Linked DNA regions of Rattus norvegicus. The protein of the gene in region 1 interacts with the protein of each later gene in a biochemical or structural test. Links are inferred from orthologs where the notes say so. Each region holds a gene or a part of one and is shown on either strand. Other genes may lie near its edges.

Region 1 (3,654 bases):
CAAAAGGACACAGCCTTTGGATGTGGAAATCTTAGGATCTTGGAGTCACAGGATTGGAATCTTATAATGACAGGATGAAGGGGGACTAGAGTCCCAATTCCGGAATCTTAAGTGTTTGGAGTTACAGAAAGGGGAAATGTCAGAATAGAGCGTCAGAACAGAATCCTGGGGTCAGATTGCATTCTTGTGACTCATGGCAGTCTCTATGGGTTAGAGCTGAAAGAATCTTGGGGCCATGATAGTCCACCCACAATGCACCATTTGCACCAGGACTGAGTTGAGCGGGAAGGACTGAGGCAGAGGAAAGAGCAGGGGCAAGAGTCCTGGACTGATCACGTCAGCCCAGTAAGGACTGAGGGAGCTGGAGACCCAGCAACGCTCTAAGTCAGCTCCAGGCTGAACTCTGTGTTGTGCCTTTCCTATGGGCTGGATTGTGTAACATACAGTGGAGACCGTGAGGAAATATGGGTACCACTCTGCACCCATACACAGGCTTACCCTCTGCCACAGCATGATGAGGATGATGAGAGAGATGACAGTAAGGACCACCAAGGCCAAGATGGCTGAGATCACCACCACTTTGAAAGGCAAGGCTGAGGACAAAGACCAGAGTAGGCCATAAGCAAACAGTATCTGGGTAGCTGCTTTCCCCATCTTGCTGGGAGCATCACAGATCCGTTGGACTTGCTCTGCTGAGCACGTGAGCTCTTACTGCCTAGATATCTGACCTCAGGGCCTACACTCTGGTCTTTCCTACAAGCCCAGGGCCCCTCAGTGACTCCCCTCAGATGACAGTCAGGCTCAGGCTGGCTTCTGCAACATCCAGCTAGGCTGGGGAACTCTCTTCTGGTTCCTGAGAATGACCTATGCCTCTCACAGCATTAGGCACTCTGGGGACCAGGCCACGACCCCCTCTTCTCTGAGTCCATGCCCTATTGGGCAGTCATTCCTGGGTCATAGATTTAAGAGCCATTCCTAACCAAATGGCTGAGGCACTCACCGAGTGACTCCCGAAGGAGCTGACTCTGAACTTCAGCAGCCTGAATAATCCACCACCAGAAGTCTGTTCCTCCCAGCCCCAGCCTGGGGACCACTAGTGTGTGTGGCACAGTCAGTATGCACCTCCCGGGGCCCTGAGGTGAACATGCAGGTCTCCCTGAGCCCTGAGTCCTCTCTAGCCCAAGACTTCAGCCTCACTGTTTACATCACCTCCCTAGTCAGCCTGGCTGAACCCCCATCCCCTGTCCTCTCCCACTTAGCAGGAGCTGTTGTGCTCTGGGAATTTGCTTCTTCCTGCCCTCCTCTGTTCCCCAGGGAGCCTTCCTCTGGCTTAGCCCCATCTTTTCCTTCTCAGGGTCACTGGCTGACATTTCTGTTCTCTCTTCCCTACATCCCTACATCCTGGTCTTACAAAGGAAGCCTGCACTCTCCAGAGACCCATCAGAGTCATCCTGGGTCTCCGTGTAATAGCTGGGTCTCCGTGTAATAGCACATGGCGTCCTGTGCAGGCGTCACACATGACTTTTCCTCTGCATTTACTCGGGCCCAGAGCTAGTCTACCTGTGTGCATAGATGAGAATATGGGGGAATAAGGGCACTTAATTTTTCTAACACCTAGACCGTAAGGACTATATGCTTGGCAGTGCAAGTGCAAAGAAATCTGCGATGCCTAAAGCAATGAACACATATCTTATATATTTTTGTGTGTATATATGTGAGCATTTGTATGACAGAATGCCACACATGTGGATGCTCACAGAGGTCAGAAGAAGGCTGTAGATCCACGGGATCTGGAGCTACAGGTGGTTGTGAGCTGCCTGATGTGGGTGCTGGGAACGGAACTCAGAGCCTCTGGAAGAGCAGCAAGTGCACTTAACCTCTGAGCCATCTCTGCAGTCCCAGTAAGGATGCTTTAAAAGCTCACCCTTCCTCTAAGGGCAGGTGACAGGCATGTACATAAGCAGACATGTACAAGCCTGCGGAAGCCTCTGTGTGTGTACACCTGCGTGGGTGTGTGCATGTCTCTGTTTTCAGGTATATGCGCAGTGTGCATGGGTCTGTGTTTGATTGTCTACGAAATACTCTTTGCAGCTGTATCCTGTATCCTGTATCTTGTAGCTGTATTCTGCATCCTGTAGCCCCATTCTTTACCACTTCCCTCCCTAATCCCTCCCCTACTCCAAATCCACATACAGTGTGCCCTGCATCCGGGCTCATTTGCTTCAACTCCTCAGAACCCACACAGAGCCTATGCTAGGCTTTTCCACAGCCCTCACGAGCTAGCTAATCCCCACTCATCTTTCAGCATTTGATATATTAGATCTGGCTGGTCTCATACGCACGGCTCACAAAAATATATTCTGCAGTTTCACATCCACGAACAGCACTGGGTATGCTTGAGTAGATGCTAACACGCATATACTCTGGAGACAAAGCCTCCTCGGCGCAGACGGCGTGCCCGTGAAGAGTGTACGCCTGACTCCCAGTATCAACCGGCTCATGCAAGTTTACAGCATGCATCTCGCGTGCCAGTTTCACTTTCTACACCTAAATGTCAATGTGTTTCGTGTTTGTGGTGTATAAAGTTGTGTTTGTGCACTTGTGTCAATGTCACATTTCGTGTGCGCACCTAGGAACCTACTCTGGTAGACTTTGTAACATTCTTCTGAGTATGCTGACTTGATCTGCTTTGGGAACTCGGACTCAGTGAGGTGGGATCAAGGAAGGGGTGAGAGCTCATCAGAGCCATCCGCAGCTAGGGCACTCACAGTGTGGTACCACGGTGACCTCTTGTGAATCTCTGCCCATCGAGTTCTGCAGCATACAGCGCACTGACAGTGGCTGGTCCACGTGACGCAGGCGCAGCGTGCTCACCACCTCATATTCCTGATCTTCCTCCCAGAAAGTCACGTTCGTTTCTAGCTGGCTCTCCTCCTTGGAACTATTCCCCAAGGGTGTGGGTGACAGTTTTCGCGGACACCTGCCAGGAGACACAAAAGGACTGGCTTGCAGACTCTCTTAGCTTCCTCTCTGCAAATGGTGGGGGAAAGTAAGACTGTGAATGGTGGTAGAAACGTTTGATTTCTTTGCTTGCTCTTTAAGCAGATTCCTACTGTGCTGCCTAGATGGGCCAGCAGGGGGCGCTCCCAGTCCAGAACTGAGACTCCTGAATGGCAAAATTCACTCATTTGACTCAAGGTTACTCAACGTGTTAAGGATAGAGAGGCAATCCCCGCATATCCACTGGGTGAACTAGACACCTCTGGGGGCCAGACCCTGCACCTTCCTAGGTTGAGGATGGCTCAGGATCAAGGTAAGAAAAGGAGAAATGTGGGTTAGGTATCTCCCGGAAGGCAGAGGAATGATCAAAGATGTGGCCTGGACCTCTCAGGTGAAGAGGCCGGTCTAGATTACCCTAAAGGAGCATTCTAGGCAGCTGCATATACTCTGGGAGGCCTGGCCTCAAGGTGTGCTCACCTTTTGAGGTCTCTGCAGGTAGACCAGGTGACATTTGGCTGAGGCATGCCCCGGCCCCGACAGCGGAGTATCTGCTCCCCATTGGCAGGATGACTCTCACTCAGCTCCAGTACACGGACAGGGACTGGACAGAGTACAGGGTCAGGAAGTGAGGTGATCAGAACAGAGCTCAGGAAA
Region 2 (3,340 bases), on another chromosome or scaffold:
CCACTCCCACCCACAGAGAGTCTCATGGTGATATTTTAAACTTCTATTCTCACCCAACCAATGGGATGAAAATCTCACCAACAGAAGTTCTTTGGCGAAAACTGGGAGGGGAGAAAAAAAAAAAGAAAGGAAGGAAAAGGAACATGGAGCACAAATGTGTGTCAAGGGCGGGCCGCAGAGAAAGCCTCCTCTAATGGGATGGGACAGGAATGTTACTGAGGAGGCGAACCTCTGATACTAAGCTACTGTTTAAATATTCTGTATATTCCAATTCTGAGATTCAATATAAAAATAGAGATATCTACTGAGTTTTGCCCGTGGAAGCATAATTCAGAAAAGGCACATGTTCAAATAGAAACCCACGCAGAAGAGGCACCGGGTGCCCCTCCCTGCATGAGAAACACCCACAGCCATGCTTTTCCATCGGCTAGATTCCGAGATACAGTAGGTAAAAATAGACCTCTGATACTTAAAATATATCCAACCCAACATAATCCTGGCTTTAGCATGTGAATCATATAAAAGTCTTAAAAAAAAACAGAGAGAGGCAGGGGAGGGAGAGAGAGAAGGGGGAGGAATAGAAAGAGAGGAGAACAAACCTGCTTGGAAAACAAAAACATAGCTCACTTTTCCTGGTTTTCCACAATTCTCAAGGAAAGAAAAACAGAAAGCGAACCCATCCCATTGGTAATCAGGAATGCAGCTGATTTACACACCACCTGCCCACAGCCCCTGAGAGCCCCAACTGCCTATCTGCCATGTTTTACATGCACAGCCCCATGCCCTCCAAGTAGTTCTAACAGAACAGAACAAAGAATTGAGAAATGAGACACATAAAACATGTCCCCGTCAGGGCGTTCTCCTTCACTGTGGGTGTGACGGTCTGGTTAGCTTCAGAAGGGTTTGCTTTGGAACTAGGCGATGTAACCATTAGTCTTTCCAAACATGCTCACTGGCTCGAGGTTTTCATAGATTGTCATTGCGGTTGTGTTCTGATAGATGAGGTCAACTTTTGAGTCTTTCTGGGCTCTGATAATATCCAACACACACTGATTGAGGAAAACATACTGGTCCTGGTGACAAAAGAAAGTGAGAGAGAAGAATAAGCACCAGCCCCTGGAATGAGAACACGAGATGATGTTTAGACAAATAATCACCATGTCACCCCCCAAACCCCACCAGTCCAACAGCAAACGCATCCAAATTAAGACGCAGTGATCTAAGAACATCCTAGTGAAATCCAAAACCACATAACGCAGCCTTCATTACCAGTGATGCTTATCCGGAGGGGGCGCCCTCACTTTTCCTGATCGAGGAAACCTTGGAGAGAGTGAGATGGAGTTGCAGAGGAAATAGAGCATAGATACGGTGGGTCAGTGTGGAGTGCGAGGAAGCCAGAAAGATTCTCTAAAGATGAAAAGGGTTAAAAGATATCAGGTGAACCTGAGTGGGGACCACGCTTCAGGGAAGCTTGATAACTAATCCTTGTTGTCCCCTGGATGAAATTGAGAATCACCTAGGAGACACTCCTCTGGGTGAGTTAGGAGGTCATTTCAGGAGAAGGTCAGCTGATGAGGGACTGCCGTCCCTCCTGAACAAGGGGCTGAGGTTTGCGGCAAGTGAGAGGGAAGGGGGTTGAGCACCAACAGTCACCTTTCTATGGCCTTACTGCAGACAAAATGTGACCAGCGTCATCCTGCTGCCACAGTTAGAGACACTGGTACACTGTGTCGGACTGTACCCCAAACTATGAGGCAAAATAAACTTCCGCACAGCAATTGCTTTTTTCAAAAAAGTAACTAATACAAGAGCATCAGAATCTGCAGGTCGCTGTTTAAATAGAGGAAGCACGTGCTGATGCAGAAAGACACTAGGTGCCATAAAAGAAAACCTCATGAACAAGCATCCACTCTTTTCAAACTAGTCTATACACGTACGCATGCGCAAACTCAAAGGGTTCTATAGCGCCACCTGCTGGGCAAGTTCCATCTCTTGCTGCTCTGACCAAACACAAGAAGGAACTTAAGGGAAGAGGGGCTTCTTTTGGCTCACAGCAAAACAGACAGGGCCCACCACAGCTGAAAAGAGATGGTGGCAGGAGCCTCGGGCAGCTGGTCACACTGCATCTACAGTCAGGAAGCAGAGGGCAGACAGGAAATGGAACCCGGGTATGAAACCTTAAGGCCCACCCATAGGGATCCACTTCTTCCAGCAAGGCTCTGCTCCCTGAAGGTCTACGACCTTTCAAAGAAGCGCCACTGCCTGGTGACTAAACATATTAGCCTGGGGAGGTGGGGACTCCAAACCACTACACATACTAAAGGTAATTAAGGCCTTCCTCTAGGTCCTAGAGCCTAAGAAGTTGGGTTAGGGGAAAAAAAAAATTCTGTGAAGTCCTATAGTGGTAATTTTTAATATATTATTTTTGAAATATGAAAAAGTGATCGGGAGAGGTAGATCAGAAGTTAAAGCATTGGCCACAGAGGAGGACTAAACAGCAGATCCACAAACCGTGAAAACGCTGAGTGGGTGTGGCCTCTGAAGACAGAGTGACCTCAGATCAAGCCAGCTAGCTAGACTAGCCGTGCTTTCAAGTTCTGTGTTTGTGAGAACCAGCATCACTGAATAAAGTCGAAAAGTAATCCTCTCTCTCTGTCTCTCTGTCTCTCTGCCTCTCTGTCTCCCTGTCCCTCTGTCTCTCTCTGACTCTCTGTCTCTCTCTGTCTCTCTCTCTGTGCACGAGTGACACAAACACACAAACACACACACACACACACACGCATACATGCGTGCATGCACACAGAGATGAGAGAAGAAGCCACAGACAGATAATGAGACTTCTGTTCTTCTCGTTCTATAAAACTGTAGCAAAAAAATGAAAATCTAACATGGACGCAAATCTTCATTCTTTCTCCAACAATCATGGATCTCACCCAAAACACACAGTGTGCCCAGCCCTCTAACATACCCTGCTAGACGCAGACACAGCATAGTCCTAAGTTTCTAACTTGGTACCGAGTAACAGCCTGAGACGTGAATATTCTGCTCTCATCTTGGCCTGGAATATCCACCCCTGGAAGCCACTTCCTGACACACTCTGATAAGAATCAGCCTCAGATTCAAAGTTCACAAGGAACACATCAGGAAGGGCAAATCCAACAGCTTTCCACACACTGCAGTAGATCCTGAGCACACATTTTCTGCCCAGTCATCCTGGTGTAGCTCTGATAACCAGTTCTTTAGCTTCTGCAAGGCTGGGCGCGCATAAGTAGCATTTCCACCTCAGCGGCAATGTGCTATTTCCTACCATGAAAGCAAGTTTGATAAGTCTGTTCTGTTA

What was found.
Region 2: of the proteins of Pdgfrb (region 1) and Ptprj, one has a biochemical effect on the other in vitro, tested with the Homo sapiens proteins (2 studies listed by IntAct). The link is inferred for Rattus norvegicus from reciprocal best matches to the Homo sapiens genes PDGFRB and PTPRJ.

Annotation. Positions count from the first base shown.
Region 1 is NC_086036.1:56,794,229-56,797,882, reverse strand, and holds part of Pdgfrb (platelet-derived growth factor receptor beta precursor), read right to left. Parts: intron 3,602-3,654; coding exon 3,478-3,601; intron 2,981-3,477; coding exon 2,769-2,980; intron 594-2,768; coding exon 499-593; intron 1-498. UniProt on the Homo sapiens protein: Tyrosine-protein kinase that acts as a cell-surface receptor for homodimeric PDGFB and PDGFD and for heterodimers formed by PDGFA and PDGFB, and plays an essential role in the regulation of embryonic development, cell proliferation, survival, differentiation, chemotaxis and migration.
Region 2 is NC_086021.1:96,864,460-96,867,799, forward strand, and holds part of Ptprj (receptor-type tyrosine-protein phosphatase eta isoform 2 precursor), read right to left. Parts: intron 1,074-3,340; coding exon 915-1,073; 3' UTR 1-914. UniProt on the Homo sapiens protein: Tyrosine phosphatase which dephosphorylates or contributes to the dephosphorylation of CTNND1, FLT3, PDGFRB, MET, KDR, LYN, SRC, MAPK1, MAPK3, EGFR, TJP1, OCLN, PIK3R1 and PIK3R2. Plays a role in cell adhesion, migration, proliferation and differentiation.